Mytilus edulis: one gene and its partners. Each later gene encodes a partner of the first gene's protein in a complex. Links are inferred from orthologs where the notes say so. Each region holds a gene or a part of one and is shown on either strand. Other genes may lie near its edges.

Region 1 (7,754 bases):
GGGGGTTCAATTTACCATAGCGGTATTTTGACCCCGGGGTCAATTTACCATGGGGTTCAAAATACCATATGACACCGGCATAGTCTATGGTCCGCAAATATAAAAAATCATCAAAAAGACCTTAGGAGGGTATCAGGTCCGTTTGCGCCCAATATACTTTCGCACCCTACACGTTCGCACCTCGCACGTACGCACCCAAGGTCCGTTCGCTCTCTACACGTTCACGCCCAATTTTAATTCAAATTCCAGTTGAATAATTGGAAAATCATAGATTGTTGTTTTTAATTGCTTTCGTGTAAATACTGAATATATTTATAGCTTGGTATGAGTAAAAGATTGAAGATTCTGAAACAATAAAATATAGCAATACACTATTATAACCAAAACATGATAAAATTTATTCAACACACACAAAAAAAAAAAAACGTAGTCAGAATCTCACTTCATTTTGAATCAAGTCAATGAAACAAAGTTACAGCAATACACTAACCAAAACATGATTAAGAGTTATTCAACACAAAATTAAACGTTGACAGAATCCCACTTTATTTAGAAAGGAATATCATTTTTATCACAATACACTATCCAAAACATGATTAAGATTTATTTAACACAAAAAAAAATGCTGTCTCACTTTATTTTGAGACAATGAAAACAATAATACTTATAAGAACTATAAAAATTGAAGAACCATCAGAAGTAACCAGGCAGGATATAAAACGTGCAGCAAGAGAAAGTGTTTTAAGAAAATGGCAGAACCAATGGGAATCAAGTCAACGTGGCAGAAATTATTATAACTATCATCAAAAAGTTTGTCAAAAAATACCAAAAGATTTACCATCCAAATGGTCGTTTTCAATTATTACTAGTTTGAGAACAGGTTATTGTGATCTAAATGATTACAAATCCAAAATCATACCATCAACAGACAAAAATTGTTCCTGTGGAGAGCCAGAAACTGTAGAACACTACCTTTTACATTGTTCTAACTATGAGGAGGCTAGAGAGAGGATGAGAACATCTATTTACTTCATAACAGGAAATATACATATGGATTTAGACACCTTTCTAGGAATCGATGAAGAAGACATTAATAGAGACAATCGAAATGAGATATTGTGCCATCTGGAAAATTATTTAACGGAGTCTGGTAGATTCAAAAACACTATACAGTAAAAAACACTATAATTCTAAATCAAAATTAAGTCAAAATTTTTTAAGCAGCAGCCACCATTTCAATTAATTACATGAGTGAACATTACATATGCAGGGCCGTAACTACATTGAGGCAAATGAGGCAAATGCCTCATGTTTGAAATTTAAAAAAAAACCAAAAAAAAAACAACCTGAAACAAAAAGATTGTCAAATTGTTTTGACGGAAAGTGTCAGTCTTGCAAGAAGCCAGTTCTCTTCACTATCTGGTGTAGCCCTTCATGTTTTTCGTGATCCATGTTTCTATTTTACGTTTAGTTATCAGAGTTGATGGTCTATTATTGTGTGTACTTCTATGTCCCGTGTTTGTCTTTTGTTAATTTATTGTCCTACTTAATGACTATAGTCTGAGTGTTGATTTCATTTGTAAACGTGTAGTTTTGCAATGTTGCATGCCAACCGATGTCCAGACAATGTGCGAGAAATTTTAAGAATATATGATGCTACAAGACACAGAAATGAATCTTTGTTTCTGCATGGAGAATTGAACTTGAAATCAAAGAGAACAAAACTGGCTTTTTTCGTAGATAAAACTAGAAAGCTGACATGGTTGAAATTGAAATATGGTTACCAATTCCACGGTATCAAAAAAATTGAAAAAAAAACAACAGCAATGTATTGCCATATGACCTTTTACATTGAAGGGTTACCCTTGCATTAAGTCATGTTCAGACTCTTTTAAGAGAAAAAAAGGAATATTGAGTACACGTGCACGGAACCTAATCGCACACAATGTCAATGTATAGAAAAATACGAATGATCAATTGTTAAAGTTTAATTCCTGTTCTTTATCTTGATAGTTGCTGGATGGTCTCCAACAATAAAAGAATCATTAAAATCGTAAAACAAGATCAAGATGGTCCCTAGTGTCGACTTTAACAGTACTAGTACTTAAAGTATAATACTGCACTGTCACTATATTTAAATCTAGTCATAAAAAAATCACCAAAGTCTAAGTACAATACAAGACAGACAGATTCGGTATTAAGGATTATGAGAATTACGATTTTTGCTTTATTCATCATATATATATCGATCTTTTTTTAATGTTATCCCTAAAACCTGAAAGTCTTAAAATACAATGATTTTTTGTTATTGCTATGAGACCAGAATATTGTTGAAAAAATAGCTCAGAATGCACGATTTTGCATTATTTTTCTCAGAGCGTCTGGGGGCCTTCAGCGCCCCCCCGACTCCTAGCCAAAAATTTTTCGCCTCGCTACGCTCGGCGAATGTTTTGCCTCACTTGTAAAAGAGGCTAGTTACGCCCTGATATGTGAAGAAACTACAAAAGAGGAAACGTAAACAAGTGTTTACAGTGTCATTTGGGACACTTACTAAAGACTAAAGATTGTACTTGCCAAAACTTGATTACAAAGTTATTAAACACAAAACTAATTAAAATTGGGCGCGAACATGTAGGGTGCGAACGGACTTTGGGTGCGAACATGTAGGGTGCGAAAGTGAAAAGGGGCGAACATGAGTGGGTGCGAACGTGAATGGGTGCGAACGGACCCGGATTCCCTTAAGAGCAACATAGCTAATTCCAGATCAAAGATAGGTGCAACTTTGAAAAGAAAGCTGAAAATATCAGATTAGGAAAGAATACAGGATATCTTGTTCCCTAGAAAAAGCTATATCTGCTTCGTATTTCACATGTACCTGTTTTTTCGTTTTCTCTGTTTTTATGATTCTTTTACCGGTTGTTGTTACTTGTTTTCTTGAATGTCATAACAAAGATCGAGGTGTTTCAAACGTTAATATCATTCGGATGCTATTATTGACAAGTAGCTCACACGATTTCAGAAGTGGCTACATCGGATGTCATCAGTAGTAGTACAAAGTTAATAAAAAAAATTGAAACAAAATTTAACCACAACGTACATAAATTTAGGCACTATACAGTTGCGTTCCAGTACTATAATTAAGCTTGATTTGAAATAAAAATTATCATAATATATTTATTTTGATCTAGTATTTATTGTGTAGTTATGTTTTGTAAGAGAACCGTTTTATCATTTTGTTAATTTTTGAAAAGTTGTAGCGTTTTGTTATTTGAAATGCTGTACAAGAATTTGTTGTGCAGTATTTGATTCTATATGGATACAATCTCAAAGTGTATAGTTTTTTAAATTGTTGCTTATATCATAACAAACAAATTAAAAAAATATATATATTCATATTTGCTTAATAAAAAAAATTCAAGCCTTTTGTTTATTTATTTTTAAAAATATTTGTACAAAAATAAAATAAACATAACATGTATTTCACCATTTGTATCAGTGTTGATATTTTAAAGCTCCAAGCGGCCTCTAAATTGACAGCATGGCTGAAGTACAGATTGCTCCTCTCCGTTCCATGAGTGATTTTGTATTGGACTCTGCTAGATTTCAAGTTCCTAACATCAAAGACGCAGAGAAATGGGCGAACAGAGTTCTGAACAATCTATTGTATTACCAGACGAATTATTTTCTGGTAGCTTTGATCGTCTTTTTATTGATTGGGTATGCATACAAAATCATTTAAAAAAAATATTTGTGAAACCGGTTATACTTTTCACCTTTTATATTTGTTTCAACTGATATTTGTATTGTCTTTAAACATGCGATCCAGCGTCTTAAGAAGACTTAACTTGTTAACCAGTCAGGGACTTACTTAAAAGTGATTTTCTAAATCACTGATTCAAGTAAATTGAGTAACAAAAAAAAAAACTAACATTACATTGTATGTCCACAAAGGTTGGAAGTAAGAGTTGTCTTTCTTTAATTATCACCTTTTTCAAGAAGTTCAAATAATCACTACACTACATGGTTTAATCTCATTCAGGGGTTTCATGATCTTTCATGTCGACTGGTACTTTCCCAAGGATCTCCATGGCCTGTTTAACGATGGCGCCCCACCATCGTTCAAATGTCTTGCGCCACTGTCAAATGACTCGCGCCATCGTTATATTGTCTTGCGCCATCGTTAAAATGTCTTCCGCCGTCTTTCAAAACTTCATCGTTTTTTTGTAGCCAGACGCCATTTTTTTATCAATTATAATCAAATGCATGTAATTGCATAACCCTTAGGCTTTTTATGTTATAATCCAATACAGTTCTAACGCCTGAGGGATATCTGGATTAAGATCGCTAATCACTTGTAATGTAACTGAGCTTGTACAGGTACATGTAGATCAACAAACCAGACAGGAGAATACTATCTGAGGATAGACGATCCATTTGTCGAATTAATCAACTAAGTTGCAGCAAATGATTATGATAATTTAGATTAAATAAATAAATTAATAATCCAGTTACAAAGAAAACAGTTTAAAAAGTCGAACACATGCTTTATTTTGACTTACGCAATCAGCATCCCTCTTTTTTAAGAAGTACAAAATAAGACGCAAAACAGTGAATATTATTTCATCGTAAATAACTCGAGTACTGCTGTAACAACAATTTAGAATTACAAGTTTAAAAGTAAAAACTTAAATATTTCCTGTGAAGAAATATCGTATCGCAATTCAGAATTCATTTCGTTTATTACAATCAAATTGATACATACGCGTTTCCGGTTTCTATTCAGATTCGAAAGATGCATGTTTCACAGCATCAATTTGCCAGATAAAGTCATTAAAAACCTTAACATTTGTCAACGTTTGCTTTACAAATCTCTTTAACTCTTAACATAACCCGTACGAACCGTTTTGTTAATTTGTTGCTGCAAATCAGCCATACCGGTAATGGGTTCTGAATTTGACAGTGTCCATGAAAAATAAGCTCCACATCATATGATTTTTAGCCCCCATAACAATTACCAAAAATACAAGAAATCTACATGGGGACCTTCATGACAGCTTTTGGTCATTCTCGACTAAGGGGGGACCATGAAGACTTGGCATTTGAATGGTTAAAAACGGCAATGAATGAAAATATTGATACTTCTAATTCTATAATGAAAGTTCAAATAAATCTATACTATTAAACGAGAAGACCTCATTTTGGGTGTCGCTTCTCTTCCTTCCACAATAAATCAATCATCATGCCTCTGTGTCCTATAGGTAACATGCATAGTCGCATTTGTCATCCATTCTTATGATTATTCAGATTGAGTTATTTTGGGAGAAAAACGACAAAAAAGGAGTCCGGATATGATTCCGTCATCAGACTGACTTTTAGTCATAGATAAGACTTCCGGTTTGAAACATGCACAAACACAACCAATCTTATGATAGATAACAAAAAATGAAAAATAAATAAGCCTATCAAATCGTTCTCCATGTCATGGTGTTTAGATCGCAAGAACCACAACTATTATAATACCTCCTTATAGAGGACAATTATTTTTCGCGTTTATCTACATGTAAACTACAATTATACTACTTTAATATATAGAGACTCTCTGTATTCTGTCTACTGTTTTTCTTTCAATTGTTTACTATTTAAGGGGTCATACCAGTTGCATCTATACTATTAAACGAGAAGACCTCATTTTGGGTGTCGCTTCTCTTCTTTCCACAATAAATTAATCAACACGCCTCTGTGTCCTATAGGTACAGTGCATAGTCGCATTTGTCATCCATTCATATGATTATTCAGATTGAGTTATTTTGGGAGAAAAACGAGAAAAAAGGCATCCGGATAATGTCCCGTCATTGGACGAAATTTTAAGTCAGATTAGACTTCCGGTTTGTGTTTTTCTGTATACATGTACTTTGAACAAATATACAAAGAATAAAGTGTATTTTCAGAATTCTATCTGCTATCATTTTCAAGTTTACTATCTACGGCGATCACAGAGTTTATTAAAAAATAATAATAATAAATAGAGAGGGTCTGTATACTCACGTGTGTTTACTATACCAATGACCACCATGAATCGATTAGTAAACTTAGAATTGAAAGTAAATAAACTATATTTATATAGTTACTGTAATGAATGTTCATAATATACAGATAAGCGCTATAAATATTCATGTGAACTTTTGATACCTTTTCTAAAATTCTCCAGTCATTAAATCTTTTACAAAATTCATTGATTACAAAAGAAAAAGAAGATGTGGTATAATTGCCATGTTGAGACAACTCTAGATAATCGCTAAAAATATTCATGTGAACTTTTGATACCTTTTCTAAAATTCTCCAGTCATTAAATCTTTTCATTGATTACAAAAAAAAAAGAAGATGTGGTATGATTGCCATGTTGAGACAGCTCTCCACAAGAGACCAATATGACACAGAAATTAACAACTATAGGTCACCGTACGACCTTCAACAACGGGCCTTATTTGTGCACAAAAAATGAACGAAAAACGAATATGTAACACATAAACAAACGACAACCACTGAATTACAGGCTCCTTACTTAAATGTTCATAACATACTAAATGTATGTTCATATTGAAATTGATAGAAAACCAAAAATTGGGAATTTTGGAAATAATGACTTATGATACTTTTGCTGAAATTCTCCAGTCATTCAATATTTTACAAAATTCTTCCAAAAAACACTTTACATACTTTAAACTACGCTCTGAATGACCGCGATTTCGCGGGTGTGTTCTAGTATAATTTAAATAAGCAATGAATTAGCATGTTCACCATTCCTTGTATGGAGGGATAAAATACTTCCGATCGCGCTACACTGTACAACGTAGACACGGTTTGTAATGGTGAAAGTTCCTCCATCGTTCAATTTTCATCCATGGAGATCCCTGCTTTCCACGTTTCTAGGTGATACTTTTCAATTTATTCCATGAATATCTTATATAAAAATTCCTACATTTAGGCGGTACTTGTCAATAGCATAGGAGGGTAAAAGTACCGGGTACCGCCTCCTAATGAATGGCCTGCTCATTGTAGCTTTAAATATGCAATACAGCAATAGACTCCAACTGATCGGATATCGGCTATTGTAATATTATTTCCACATGTTCAAAACATCAAACCCTTCCCTATATGTTTAATGTTAATTTTATCGTGTAATCAAATATCGGATGTAAAAATATATCGGCAAATAGGATAAGAGTATTCAGGAAATTTTTGTCACAATTTTACAACAAAAATGAGATGAAAGACATACATGTATGATTTTTATTGTATTTATTGAAAGATAATATGTAAACAGTTTCAGAATAGTTATGACTTCAAATTCTACTTTTTGGCCAAATTTTTGTGGCATCTTTTCCCCCTTTTTATACGACCCCAAAAATTTAAAACAAAATGGTCATATATTAGTATCACGTTGTTGTCGTTGTCAGCGTGTCTGAGATAGATGGTTTCCTGATAATGACTTAATAAGTATAATAAGTAAATAGAAATCAATAAAATTTTATCACAATGTTTAACCACATAAGGAAGGTTGGGATTGATTTTGGGGGTTTTGGTCCCAAAGCAGGGTTGGCAAAAACCCGGGTTTTATGAGTATTGCCCAGCCCAGTGGGTAATACTGGGAAAACCCGGGTTTTACTGGGTCTTAGTGGGTAATACTGGGCAATACTGGGTAATATAAAATATTTGTCTGAATTTTAAAGAGGATTCAGTGATAAACACAAATG
Region 2 (7,271 bases), on another chromosome or scaffold:
GTAATATCATATTTTTAAGAATTTCTGTTCCTACAGCTGATACATTGACCAAACAGACACATGCTGACTCTAAGGCAGACTGTCCATGGTCTCCCCATAATCTACGAATAAAAAATATATATTAATTGGGAAAAGGAAAAGTTTATGAATGTTTATTAGAGATCTTATTCAAACCACGGTAACACACACAAATTGACATTACAAATTAGAATTTTAAAATTTATGCAGTCTCCACAATCTGAAATTTACTTCCAGAAATGTTTTTAAAGAACAACCATTTAACTTCAACAGGGATGGGAGGACGGGGGTATGTTTTTTTTCTTCCAAAAAAATATTCTTATCCCCAATTTGATGAAAAAAAGTATTCTGTTTAAGCAGATGACTAAATAAAATATGCTGAATGTAGAATATTGAACAAAATAATCTGGTTGAACTTGATAGCATTGTAAAACTAAATAAAATTGATCCCCCTTTGCACAATAAACAATTCTGACTAAGAATAAAAACCCAGTGATCGGGAAGGATGTGCACCATGCGCAAATTGTGCTTATCGACTAGAAATGGCACATAACAACAACAACAACAACAATACTTTATTTTAAGAGGGTTACACAGTTAGCTATATAACTAATCTTCCCTGAGGCCCTCATCATGAGAAATCAAACAAAATGCAAACATATACATTGCATACATTAGAATAAAAAGTCAAGTATGATAATAATGTTTAATACAACTTGATAAAATGTGATGAACAAACATAAACATGATGACATGATTAGTTTTTAATATTATTGATACACCTAGGTTGATTTCAATAAATGATCTGTTATTTTGTATTTGAAAGAATTAACATTTGTAATATTTCTTAACGGTATTGGCAAATTATTCCACAAGAATGATCCAGAATACATAAAAGATTTTTTGAACAATTCTGTTTTTGGTTTAGGGAGTATGAGGTTTCCTTGAAAATTCTATAAGCTGTATTGCTTTTGAATAAAAGACTATTATTATGAACAGCATTTCTCAAGGGGTATGGATTTCTGTCTGAAACATAATGAAACTTGTTAGTAAGATATGATGGGGCATCATTTTTAATGCACTTAAATGTCATCACTAACTTATGATATTTTATTCTCTGGCATTCAACTTTCATCCAGTTTAAATGTTTGAATAAGGGTGCAGAAGGAGCGAATGGGTCTGTTTCTAGTATTAACATAGAGTGACAAACAATAGCGCCCACATGGCGCACAATATTTTTCTCTTTGTTTTGAAACATTTAAACAACATGGCCCATTAATTCTAAAAATGGCCCTTTGTATTTATTTTTGGGGGGGCCCTGGGCCCATTGAGAAAAATCCTTCCAGATCACTGAAACCATAACACCCCAGGTCTTTGAAGTTGAGTGGTTGCTCCCATGTGATACAATGTTAACATTTTAACAAATATTTAAAGTATACACATGAATGTAGCTTGCTAAATACAAAATTTAGAAGTTAATGTTTGGAGTTCCTGGTAACTGTACTCTGTAGAATCAAAAAGACCGTAAGATCTAAAAGTACATGTAAGGCCAAACAGCTTGGGTATGAGGTTAATATCAAAGAAACATTCTCAGCTTAAAAAAAATACCTTTGGACCCCCTTTATTAAATACGAAAAAATCAAAATCCTTCGTGTATTTATAGTCAATTAAAATATTCACAATTCTAAACGGTTCTATCCTTCAATTTAAGTTCTTGATACATAAACTAATTTGTGTAAAAATTAATTTACCGTAAGACAGATAGATTTAAGCTCATTTCGTCGGTTTGTTATAATTTTTGCTGTTTAGCTTATTATATTAATACAAGCATTCCATAATAATATATATTTACGAAAATATTATCCCCATTTTAGTTGTCCAGTTTCAATAATGCAATCAATGACATTTATGACATATACATAAATTTAGAATACTTGAAAGTAAATATTCTTTTATTCAATCTCGATTAACTTTGCACATTTCAACAGTAAAAAAATCTATGCCTACATTTGCCTACATTATTTTGATAAACATCATGTGAAACCTGATCGATTCATCGGTTTTTATCTGTTTAACTCAGGATCCGCTTTTAACCGAAAAATACTTTTAGAACAGTTTAAAACAAACGGTAAAAAAGCAAAAATATGCTAAATTAAATACAATTTTCCATGTTAAACTGCTGTAGTTTGAACAATTCTCGTCCGTTATCACAGATAGTAACCAAAGGGGTCTTACCGCTGAGACTATAATTGGATAAAATCATATGACTTTAGTACAGGGCTCTACATGCCGTTAATACATGCTAATTACTCGATGTTATTCCTTTTAAATATTACTTCCATGGTCTGACCGAAGAAATGTCAGACAAAAAATCATTCGGTCAGACAGAAATTAAATTTTTTTTCTGTTGAACATATAGCAGAAAATGTCAAATTTCTTTTTCGGTCAGACAAACCATCATACAGTTTGGCACAGACTGTATGATAATTCAATTTTATAAGGAATGGTAGTATGTTTAACTGATGATATGGAATATTGATGGTACACTGCGAATGTCATCAAAGAAAGTTATAAATCTTCTGAAGTTTTTTTCGTACTGCCTGAGTGTCTCAGCATTTTTATAACAAACTTTACTTTATATGTTTTCTTTCAGCCCTCTCTTTCCAAGTCTCATAGTATATTTTATTTAATTTTTATAGACATTGCTATTGCATTTGAGATACTGGCCTTCTGAAAGCTAGACATCATCATGATCATTTCCTTCCATAAACATTAGTAAGAAACTAAGATGAATAAAATACTCATGTCCGTCCGTATCATTCTGACATGAATTAATCAAATGTCAGAAAACTATACAGTTAAAACTTAAAGTATATTATTCGTACAACCATTCTTCTTAAGTTATATTTAACATATTAACCTCAACTGCCTATCATATTTATTTTTCTTGTCGATAACAACTTTTTTGGTGTCTGCCATTTTCTGGTTTCTCCTGAGATCAATTACCGGCAGGGGACAGGAACGTAATAAAAACAGGGATGCAGTTATTAAAATTAAAAATTAAACATTAACGGAACAATAATGCAGACATTCCGGATATGAATTATCCTAAAGTTGCACTGGCTGACAAATTCATGTTTATCGAAACATTAACAATTACATAAATAGATTCCGACCTCATACAATTTTATATTATAGGTCTGTTTGATTTCATGTTGTAAAATAAACAAATATGTTATTTATCGTTTTTACTCGAAAAAAAATATGATTTTGTGTGGATCGAATCAGTCAACGAAATGGTTAACCTTTGTTTCACTTTCAATGTTGACATTCTTTTCCTTTAAATGAATGAACATAACTTGTGCATTTGTAACAAATCTCTAGCCAATGGGTTAAATTGAAGGTCACATGCATACGAGTTTATAAAGGTAGATTTACTCACTTGCAAGTGATTCATCAGCGATATTTCTTTGTGTAATTTAACAAAATTGAACCAAATTAGCTGCTAAAACGAATCATAATTTCGTTTTTTTTACTTTTATTAATGATTCAACCAAACGAAACCATATTCTATTTTTTCTTCATATACTACATATACTACATGTATATAAATAAATCCTTGACCACACGAAATGAATTTGTCTCATAGAACTTTGTAAGACTATACAAATCGGCCTCGTCCCACTATGCTTAAGTTATTCTCATAGTTATTCCTTTATTGAATACATTAAAAAAAAATAAGTTCTTCAAGACCAGGCCACCATGTACATTTGTATTACGAGTCCATGCAGCCACACTCCCACCAAAAATTAAATTGGGCCGTTCCATTTAAAATTAAAGAACCTTAGTGAGCACGCTCACATACCCCACGTCCCCACATTGTCATTGGAGAAATTAAATAAGTATAAGAAAAAAAAATTGTATAAGAAAAAATATTGAATAATAATTTCCTGTCAATATACACATCTACATAGTATGTCCTTATTATCTACAAAATTTCATGAAATTCTGTTGTGTTTTTCAGAGGAGTTGAGATGACAAACTGTTGCAGAAGTACCTTGAAGCAAATAAGTTCAAAGGGGCGTAACTCCTAGAAATAAAATTGAATCGTAATTTCCCGTCGATATGCACAACTACATAATATGTCCTTTTCATATAAAAAGATTTCGTGAAATTCTGTTGTGTGGTTTGAGAGGAGTTGCGATGACAAACTGTTGCAGTAGTACATTAAGTAAATAAGTTCAAAGGGGCGTAACTCCTAGAAAAAAAATTGAATCGCAATTTCCTGTCGATATGCACAACTACATAGTATGTCCTTATTATCTGAAAAGGTTTCGTGAAATTCTGTTGTGTGGTTTGAGAGGAGTTGCGATGACAAACTGTTGCAGTAGTACATTAAAGTAAATAAGTTCAAAGGGGCGTAACTCCCAGAAAAAAAATTGAATCGCAATTTCCTGTCGATATGCACAACTACATAGTATGTCCTTATTATCTGAAAAGGTTTCGTGAAATTCTGTTGTGTGGTTTGAGAGGAGTTGCGATGACAAACTGTTGCAGTAGTACATTAAAGTAAATAAGTTCAAAGGGGCGTAACTCCCAGAAAAAAAATTTAATCGCAATTTCCTGTCGATATGCACAACTACATAGTATGTCCTTATTATCTGAAAAGGTTTCGTGAAATTCTGTTGTGTGGTTTGAGAGGAGTTGCGATGACAAGAAACAGGACTGACGGACGGACGGACGGACGGACGGGTCAAAAACATTATACCCTCCGCAACTTCGTTGCGTGGGGTATAAAAACTGAATGCAAAGAAAATAAATCCCAAAAATTACTTATCATTTAACCAGAGACATATATGTGTACATATATGCTCTGATATAACTCGCAGACAACTAAACTGTTACTTGATTTCATTTTCTGCGAATTAGTAGGCGCATTGTAATAAAAGATAAGTTGATAATCACTAGTTTTTTTTTTTTTTTTTTTTTTTTTGTTTGAGTGATGCAAGAATTTTTTGCGTCAAACCGTCATGTTATTACTCTATCGCCCTTGGAGTTGTCCCATCGCGCTTGTTTCACCTCAAATTATCGGGACTTATTGATTTCTATAAAAATATCAACCAAATGTGTTGATCCCAAAATCTGTTCATATTATTGAAGAGGAACTTTGCCGATTTTTAAACACAATTCTGTGGAGAAATTTCGAAATATCACATTTTAAAGTGAAAACAAATTGATTTGTTCGATTTGTTTGGCTCTGAAAAGGAGATACATTGATTTTTTTTCTTTAAAGCTTAATGTTTATTGTACTTCAAACCCTTTTAAAAAAACTGGAAACGAAGGACTATGAGGACTATCTTAACCAAAGCTAAAATTCTTTTGGTTGTTAAGTTTTAAATTTAACCATTTTTAAAACATAATTTTTACATGATTTGAGTGAAACAAATACATCGAAAATTGCAATTGGCTGTTGAATAATTCCTTTGTAATAACATCGAAGATTATTGTTATTAATTGACACAGCAAGAAAGATAAGCAAACAGTTATCATGTTAACCCGCTGGTGTCATACAGATTCCAGATGTGCGCAACGGGGTAATCCCAGATCATTTTACTCTCCATAATTAGCATTACATTATTGGCAGCGGAAAGAGGCACACGCCATCTTATTCATTTTACAACCGGTGTAATATTTCCAGCGAAGATAGTAAGTTTAGTTTCTTAATCAATTTATTTCATAAATGATATATATATTTCAGCTTTAAAATTTATTCGATATTTGGTGTCTAATTCTATATCATGTTGCAAACTATCAAATTAAGATATCGTACATTATTTCATTGTAATACCCCCTTTTCTTCGTGGAAACTAAAATAAAAAAAGGTAAGAATGCAAAAGTCAGTCTGGCATATCATCTTTCACGTTGAATACCTTACCATGCTTACCCTATGCTATTAACCTATAACTTTATTAAAAACGATGTTGATGATGTTCATGTAGAAGGATAGGCATATTTTTATTTTTGGCACACAGTTTGAGTTATTTGCACACGCGTATTCTATTTATAATTACGAGTATGAAATAAGATCATGTGCACTAAAACATACGTGCTCCAAGAATCTAAGACATTTTGTTTTCTTTTTATATAGTTTCAGGTATGATTAGATCATTTTATGATAATAATATCAGCAGGTTATGACATTATGAAAAACTATATCTGTACATAAAAAATATCACAAATTGATAACATGTTTTATATGTTTACCATTGTCTGTATTCATTCATATACGTCCCAAAATTGGTTTCTGTTCTCAAAACCCCTTGCAACCGGAAACAGTGCTAAAGGAGTAGGCCCGATAAGACACCTTTTTGCTCCAAGCGTTTTTACAAAATTGTTAAATTGTAAAATATGACTTATTTATTGGAAAGTGAAATACTGTTTTTTATAATAATGGACACACGGTAGGTACTAGCGTCATTATTCCATGCAAACAACTTCATAATTTACACATTTGTGTTAATTTTAAGACTATTTTTGTGGTCGCACTTGTGTTCAGTCTTAATATTTAAATATATGTTGTATAATATTGAATGCTAACACACAACATATATAAATGTTGAGGGATAACACGAATGAACTTCCACTTTAAACAAAAATCGTCTGAAGGTGAGGTTAAATGGCATATTTGATGGATTTTTCTTATTCAAGCTTAAATTTGAGCATATTATGACCAAGTATGTCCAAATCTTTTACAATAACCAATTGAATCGAATTTAGAAGACACTTAAAAGTGTTTGAAAAATGTAAAACAATCTTTCATCAGACCTACTTCGAATTTTTGTCCAAAATAAGCCCTTACCGGACTTTTTCCTTTTTCATTTCCGTTCAACAACTTTAAAAGTTTTCCTCGACTAAATGTTATAAATCTTATAGACAATGCTTGTTACCGCAAAACAGTTAAATTTAGATAAAGTTATGCCCCTTTTTAATTGTAAAAATGCTGAATATTTTGTATCCTTTTTATTCGACAGCAAATAATTTTTGCGGTCGTATATACAAAAAATTGCGGTCGTATATTGGTATGACATTGGTTTTCGCACTATAACTTTAGTTTAAGTAAATAGAAAACTATGAAATTTAAACACAAGTTAATGACCACAAAATGAAGTTTGTGATTGATTTTTGGAGTTTTGATCCCAACAGTTAAGAAATTAGGGACCAAAAAGGGCCCAACGAAGCATTTTTCTTGGTTT
Region 3 (7,490 bases), on another chromosome or scaffold:
TTGATAGCAGTTTCTTATGGGGTACTGTGTCAAAAGCTTTTGAGAAGTTTAGTATGGCAATATAGGTTTGAAGTACTTGGGTTTCGCATAAGTAACCTGATCTAAAACCATGGTTTAAAGATGTTAACACAGTATGCTTTTCTAGATGTTTCATTATATGCCTGCATATTATATGTTCCAGGATCTTACATGGTACTGATGTCAACGATACAGGTCTGTAATTTTCAGCAGCGTGTTTATCGCCTTTTTTTTTAAACGCATGATACATGTATGTTTGCGTTTAGCCAGTCTTGAGGAAGGGTTGCAGTGTCTATAGATTTTTGGAAGATTGCTGTCAGTTCTGGTGTAATTTGACTTGCACATTCTTTCAAAATTCTGTTTGAGAATCCATCCGGTACAGAAGCTTTTGATGGGTTGACATCTTTTAGCAGTTTTTCTAGTCCCTTTTCTGTTATTATGAGGTTTGGTATGGTTTCCTTAATATGCTTTGTTGTGTCTGGTATTGTTGTGGCTTTATCTATTGTGAAAACTGATTTGAATAGCTGTATTAGTATTTCAGCTTTCCCTTTACTGTCGCTGATGAGTTTCCCTTTGTTTTTTGATGGGGCTACTCAACATGCTCAAATGTTGTCATTTTTTCTGGATTTGTTGTATTTCTGGAATGGCTTGGTGTTGTTTGATTCTAGGCCCTTTAGTATGGTGTTGTTGATATATGACCATTCAGCTTTTCTTATTTGGCTTTTGATTTCTTTTTGTAATTTGACCATTTTTTTGTTCTTTTAGCTTGTTGCAATGTTGGTATAATCAGCTTTTCTTTTTGAACATTTTCCTTATTTTGAGTGTTATCCAGGGAAGGCTGTTTTTTGAGCGGATTCTTTGGCTGGTATATGTTTGTCCATGCTTTGGAATAGTTCTTTCTTGAACGTGTCACTCATTTCTTGGACATTTGAACCTTGTTTGTACATCTGTTTAATTCTTGTTGATGTTTTGGAGATGTCTTCATATGCAACGTCATCATGCATGGTCACTTTTTTTCCTGACGTCATAATAGAAAAATTCAGAAGAAAACAAAACATTTTGACATCATAATCACATTTCGACTTATCATTTACCGAAAACGGATATCTCACTAGTGAGGAAAAATATTTTTCTCACACCGATCAAAATAGCACAAAAATTAGAGAAATGTTAATATGGGGACGAAGTCCCCAATTACGGTAGAAAAATCAATTATTAAAAAAAAAAAAAAAAAAAAATCGGGAAAATTTCCCGAATTTTTCATTCTACTAATGAACTCAAAATCGTTAACTTTTTTTTTCAGATCTAGTTCCTGTTCCGGTTTTCCCCGCTTTGCGCAGAAATCTGTCTTGTTTGCATGAGACTTTGAAAAGAAAATTATATGTATCAGTCTAGTAAAATATAAGATTGGAACTCAATACAATTTCATTTTTAATAATTGTTTGATTTTATTATTATTGATTTTAAATTAGTATTAGATTATGTAAGCAGAATTGAAAACAAAACATTAATTGAAGAAGTAAAAATATTTTCGGACAGTCAAACAGCAATTGGAATCTTAACATTAAATTGGAAAATTGAAAATAACAGATCCACTTCACATGAAATTATTTCCCTTATTAAATGTATCCAAAAACACCATGGAATAAGAATTAATTTTGATTGGACCCCAGGACATGCAGATGTTAGAGGAAATGAAATAGCTGATAAACTAGCTAAAGAGGCAGCTAAAGAGGCAAATCAAATTCAGAAAGAAGCCCATATTACAGTAACTAAACAAGATATTAAAACAGCAGCAAGAATTTTAGTAAATAAAAAGTGGCAACATAGATGGGATAATAGTGATACAGGAAGATTTTATTATAACTTTCATCAGACTGTCAGCAATAAATCGACATTTAATTATCCAGATCACAAAACAGCAAAAATTATTAGAAATTTAAGATCCGGATACTACCTAAAAAATTATCAAAACAAAATCAATCAAAATATAGACCCAAAGTGTGAATGCGGTCAATTAGAAACTGTGGAACATTATTTACTATTTTGTGAAAATTATGAAGAGGCAAGACAGAAACTTATACATGAGATATACTTCAACACAGGATCGTTACATATTGATTTGGAACTTTTATTGTCAATAGAAAAAAACGACAATGTCTCCGTCTCTAATGAAACACTAATGCGATTGTTGGGTGACTTTATTTGCGAGTCGCGCCGGTTTGATTAATGTAATGTTAGATTTTTTTTATTTTTTTTTTCTTTCTTTTCCTTTAAATTTTCATGTTAATTAATAAATGTAGATATATTTTTTAATTTTTGGAAAAAATATGTTAAGCACAGTTGCCACCTAATAGTATGTATTTTAAAGTACAAGTGAGTTGTTTACCAGAGTGAAATATTAATACACGCGAGATTTAAATAATTACAAGGGAGACAATCCAGTGTCAACAGCGACACCTACAGAATACAGAATACAGTTTGATTTGAAAAAAACGTTACCTGATGGAAGCGTTTCTTTTGTTTACATTGAATATGACGTCATAACTTAAACAACGTCACAGCTAAATCCCTAACCACAGAACCGAAATCGGGAACGTTACGGTATTTCAGTTTCCTTTATTAACATGTTTGAGGTAAAAAAAAAAAATAATACATACAGACTTCGTCCCCATTCACAGGTTATGCCTGCCTCATATTATTCCATGAAATACCAAAATGGTCAGGGTACTAAGTGGTTTCTGTCAGGGTAAGAAATGGGAGTACGAAAGGTTAAGGGTACAAAATGACTTTAATTCCCTCTTTATGGCATTACTCAAATCAATGGAATGTGATAAATTCGTTGAATTTCTCAGACACTATTTCTGATTTCACCTTTCTGTATTCTCAACTGTGCAGCTGATGCTTTTTTCTGTGTTCCTGATTTTTCTCCACCATCGGTACCGTCTTTTTTCGCCTGTTTTAGTGAAAACAACTTAATCATTTTGGTCTTCTGTTTTTTTTTTTTATTGTGAAAGTACCCAGTGCGTAATAAAGCACTTCCGCTTAAAATTTCGTATGATTATCTTATTGGCGAAAGATAAAAAAAATACTGACAGGCTTCAAATTAAAAATAATTCGTACATTTTTCCTATTTGTCAAATAAAAAATAAAAAATATCCGAAGACAAATTATATTCTAAATTTTGACTTTTACACCGACTTCCGGTAAACTTCATTCCTTCCTTGGCAGCGAAAGGTAAACCTATTTTGTTACTACTATTTCCTTGCTAGAGAATTACGACGCAAATGTCATTCATGTTTTGTTAAATAAAACAATTAATCAGACCACAATGTTTTAAAATAAGTAATCTTTACCTTTCAAAGATTAGCCGATCAAGTTTTATGAACATGTAAATTTCTGTTATTTTAACCTGGTAACACTATAACAGTAAATAATTTAGTGAGTAAAGTTTGATTGAGGTAGGAATTGACTCTACACTCCAGCGTCAAAGGTTATTTTTGGCTACCGTTAGCTTCAAATTGATGTCAGAATATCCTAAATATCGAGATTCCTTAGACATTTCAAACTACATCTACATTTACGACGATCCATCAGCACATTGATGACTATACGTCGGCGAATTGTAAACAGACATGCACTTAATAAAATATAATAACTAATGAATGCAATAATTAAAAAATAATTTTGTGCAAAAACAAAACAAATTAACACATTTACATATTTACAAACAGGTTCATGGATATCTAAATATACTGACTCTGCCAGTCTCTGGATCAGTATTTTAAACTGATCCAGGGAGTTAACACTGATAACGTTTTGTGGAAGTGCAGGGTTCGAAATAAGCGCTATCCCATTTGCCCGAGGCAAGTAAAATCTGCAGCGGGCAAGTGAATCTCATCACATAGTTGTCCGCCGGGCAAGTTGAAATTTTGTGTTTGCGTTTCATTCTATCATGTCAATTAATATAATAATATATGCAATAGGTCTTAACCATTTATTGTTAATGAATTTGTGCCAATAAAATATTTGTATAACTATGTCAGACGTAATTTTGTACGATGTACAACTGTGTATTATTGTATTACTATTTTCGCCCTCTTTATTTATTTCATATGCGCATGCCAGGAAAATCGTAAACATCGTAGTTTGTCCCGAATAATTCTATTGGTCAATTCCTATGCGTAAGCCAATGAGCGCCGTCGTTTTAGAATGTTCAGTCGCACCTGCTCGGGGATTTCCGCTACTAATTGTGAAAGGAAGTCGATACAATGATCCAATCAGAACGCGTTTTGCAAACGACTTTTGAGTTGATTTAAAAATGAAAGTAGAAAGAAACAAATGGAAAACTTTTTAGTAAATTATGTCCCCCCTTTAAAAAAACTTAAAGAATCCAACGTCAACAGGGTTGAGCAACAAAAAAAATATGAAGAGGGAAAAAGAAAACGTAAATTTTTAACAAAATGGCTGGATGAATTTAAATGGCTGAAAGACACAGAAAAGGGGATGACATGTGAGGTTTGCGTTCAGTTTGGAAGTAGTGGCAGTTTTGTAATAGGATGTACAAATTATAAAAAGGACAATATACATGCTCACGAAAAGTCAGACATACATAATTAAATTAAAATATTCTCATCCACTTCTATCTTAAATTCTTTACCTTTATAGCTGAGCATACTAAATGTGCTCATTTCTGCAGTGAACAATTACCTATTGTTATTTGAATTTGTCAGTTAGTTACATAAAGAGTATTAAAGACCAGATGCACCTAATTCACTAGGAACAACAACAGCAGCAAACATTCAGAGGTCACCACAAGGTCTTCAACAGGCTGACTCTCTTTACAAAATTAAAGGTTTCAAATTCATTCAATGTAGAAACAAGCTCTTATAGTATTGCTGTAAAATGTAAAATAAATTATAATTGCATTGTTTAGAATGAAGCATATTTTTTACAGGAAATTTGACAATTGGGTCAGTTTCTACATGTACATCTGAAATTTTTTTGTCACTTTTTTTTGTAAAAGTAAAAGTTTTTGTTTAAAAAAGGGTGTATAGAAACTTGAAATCATCTGCCAGGAGAGGTCTAGAATGCAGGATTTGGCACCATTTACCCCAGACCCCTCGCCGTAAGTGCGCCGAGCTATGCTCGTTAGTCGGGCAAGTTAACAGATACAAGGGCAAGTTAATATACATATTGACTTGCAAGTCAATGGTCTTTTCTTATTTCTACCCCTGGAAGTGAGTTCTAAAGTACAACTGTGAATGGAAAAAAGCTGTACTTCAAGTAATCTGTTCTTGTGCTAAATGTTTGGTACATGTATTGTAATGAATTAGTGAATGTGGTGTTATTGACTGGCTGTGGTAAAAGGTAAAAGTTTGGATCTACTGCAATGAGATGGTGTGAGATTTTGTACAGCATAGTTACTCGCTTGATGTGTCTGCGAGTTTCAAATGACTTCCATTGAAGATGGTCAATCATGGAAGTTACACTACTGGTGTTGGGGTACCTGTTGGTGACGTAGCATGCTGCCCTTCTTTGTACTTTTTCAATGTTGTTTTTTTGTTTTTGGGTGTGAGGTGACCAAACTGAAGAGCAGTATTCTAAATTCGAACATACCAAGGATTTGGTAAAATCTCATGTGTGAGTTCGTGGTCTAGTGGTTAAGACCGATGGCTACAGTGCTGAAGGTCCCGAGTTCAATTCTCACTCGGGGTGCTAAAAATATCAGTACATCAGAAGGGTAATTTTCACCCTCTCACACACATCTCTGGTACCCACACCGGAGTTTAAACTAGAATGGGTACTTTGGGGGCCTCGGTTGGTCAAAGTTGTCCCCTACTTTGACCTGGAGATCAATCTTCTGATATCTCTCTGGTTTGTCTGTTTCCACTGAGTGGCCCGGTGGTTCTCTTCGAGTACTTCAGCTTCCTTCACCATAATAACAGACTTCCCGGTGTCCTACACGCTCCCTTGGGCGGTGTTGGGTGGGGATTGTTCTGGTGGTGGGATAATATTGTAAAGGACACATCTCCATTAATCCTTAGGGAATTTACATGGATCCGCTGTACCCTTGCAGTCAATCAAGGGGTGCGTCTAAATTGGCGGAATCTCGAGTACATACATACATTAGGCAAAAAAAAAAATTCACTCTGTTTACAGTTACCCGACCGACCCTAAGCCATTTTATTTCCGTCGTAAAGTGAAAAATTAATAGAACTTGTGTCAAAAGCAAAGTAAGGATTGCCAATAAATTTAATCAATTGCCTGGTACATCCCAATGTTCACAATCGTGAAATTCTGAATATGACAGCTGTTTTAAGTTAAGGAAACTCGCAACTCGTGTAATGAAATAAAAACTTTGCCGCCTTTTTTTCTCCAACCAATACATACAATAACAAAAGGAAATAATTCAATCATTAAAAATACAGGTTAACTGAGCCCATGGACAACTCAAACCACCTTAAGACGGACCACACAACTCAAAATCATGGCGTAAAAAATAAAATGATAAAAAATAATAAAATGGAAATACCGACCTACCTACCCTATTTATTTTGATGATGTAACCTTAAACAGACATATATTTTTTTTTGGTCTTACCTTATTTTTGTGGTAAAAAATTAACTGGATTTCTTGAAATCAGTCAATTTTTTATTGTTTAAAAGAAATTGTACATTTTACCATCATGTATTAAAATTTACCATTACATGTAACATCATTCCAACATTAATTGAGGATTGTCGATTTTCTGTTTGATGGTCTGTGGTTTTCTTCAGGCACTCCAGCTTTCTCCACCTATACGCCACAAATGAGTCCGAAAGTGGCGCTTAAAAGTGGTGTTAAAATACCAACAATCAATCAATTAATCTTAATTGCCACAGAATCAGAGACAGGGGGATTACTATCTTGTAGCAGCATCAGTATGAAGGTAAAATACCTGGATGCTTCATACTTTGTATGCCATGTATGCAAATCCTTCATGTTACATAAAGGATTTGTTGATCTGAAATGGCGTTAAAACACCACCAATCAATCAATTAATCTTAATTGCCACAGAATCAGAGACAGGGGGATTACTATCTTGTAGCAGCATCAGTATGAAGGTAAAATACCTGGATGCTTCATACTTTGTATGCCATGTATGCAAATCCTTTATGTTACATAAAGGATTTGTTGATCTGTAATGGCATTAAAACACCACCAATCAATCAATTATTCTAATGCAACAACGTTTGTAACTTTCATTTTGATTGGATAACATCACTTTCTTACATGGCATCAATTGACAATTGATGCTATGGGACGTATGCGCAAGCGCAGACGGCATATGACAGATTTTAAATAAATGATTTAACGTTGTTTTCTGTCAGTTTCATTAGAATGGAAATAACAATATTGTATTTTAAGCTCCGACGGCATCAATTTTAGATTTTATGGTCGCAAATACCCGTTTACTGTCTCCGCTAACG

The links.
Region 2: the proteins of NEDD8-activating enzyme E1 catalytic subunit-like (region 1) and NEDD8-activating enzyme E1 regulatory subunit-like are in contact, whole or in part, in a crystal structure (PDB 3DBR), measured with the Homo sapiens proteins. The link is inferred for Mytilus edulis from reciprocal best matches to the Homo sapiens genes UBA3 and NAE1. Residues at the interface, in NP_003959.3 of Homo sapiens: Trp34, Glu35, Gly36, Arg37, Trp38, Asn39, His40, Lys43, Phe44, Glu46, Arg47, Ser48, Gly49, Pro50, Phe51, Thr52, Phe56, Glu83, Lys86, Asn87, Leu90, Ser91, Val106, Ser107, Leu109, Asn110, Arg111, Phe113, Leu114, Arg116; in NP_003896.1 of Homo sapiens: Glu10, Gln11, Lys12, Tyr13, Asp14, Arg15, Gln16, Leu17, Arg18, Leu19, Trp20, Asp22, Glu44, Lys47, Asn48, Leu51, Pro52, Gly67, Glu68, Ala70, Gly71, Asn72, Asn73, Phe74, Phe75, Gln77, Arg78, Ile81, Phe92, Glu95.
Region 3: the proteins of NEDD8-activating enzyme E1 catalytic subunit-like (region 1) and NEDD8-conjugating enzyme Ubc12 are in contact, whole or in part, in a crystal structure (PDB 2NVU), measured with the Homo sapiens proteins. The link is inferred for Mytilus edulis from reciprocal best matches to the Homo sapiens genes UBA3 and UBE2M. Residues at the interface, in NP_003959.3 of Homo sapiens: His53, Pro54, Asp55, Glu61, Ser62, Phe65, Cys70, Gln149, Asn152, Asp153, Thr154, Arg157, Gln158, Phe159, His160, Ile170, Arg173, Trp174, Ser181, Leu182, Leu183, Asn184, Pro192, Ile195, Val196, Pro197, Leu214, Met217, Arg254, Met255; in NP_003960.1 of Homo sapiens: Lys3, Leu4, Phe5, Ser6, Leu7, Lys8, Gln9, Gln10, Lys11, Lys12, Glu15, Lys21, Gly22, Ser23, Ser24, Lys25, Lys26, Ala27, Gln31, Leu32, Gln35, Lys36, Ile38, Asn39, Glu40, Phe51, Ser52, Asp53, Pro54, Asp55.

The regions. Positions count from the first base shown.
Region 1 is NC_092344.1:23,144,565-23,152,318, forward strand, and holds the start of NEDD8-activating enzyme E1 catalytic subunit-like, read right to left. Parts: upstream 3,002-7,754; 5' UTR 2,876-3,001; intron 1,177-2,875; coding exon of another isoform or gene 649-1,176; intron 1-648. Other genes in the region: uncharacterized protein, read left to right, coding at 649-1,176; PRA1 family protein 2-like, read left to right, coding at 3,539-3,717. UniProt on the Homo sapiens protein: Catalytic subunit of the dimeric UBA3-NAE1 E1 enzyme. E1 activates NEDD8 by first adenylating its C-terminal glycine residue with ATP, thereafter linking this residue to the side chain of the catalytic cysteine, yielding a NEDD8-UBA3 thioester and free AMP.
Region 2 is NC_092348.1:12,789,700-12,796,970, forward strand, and holds the start of NEDD8-activating enzyme E1 regulatory subunit-like, read right to left. Parts: upstream 3,045-7,271; 5' UTR 2,998-3,044; coding exon 2,939-2,997; intron 102-2,938; coding exon 1-101. UniProt on the Homo sapiens protein: Regulatory subunit of the dimeric UBA3-NAE1 E1 enzyme. E1 activates NEDD8 by first adenylating its C-terminal glycine residue with ATP, thereafter linking this residue to the side chain of the catalytic cysteine, yielding a NEDD8-UBA3 thioester and free AMP.
Region 3 is NC_092350.1:42,401,537-42,409,026, reverse strand, and holds the start of NEDD8-conjugating enzyme Ubc12, read right to left. Parts: upstream 3,069-7,490; 5' UTR 3,002-3,068; coding exon 2,893-3,001; intron 1-2,892.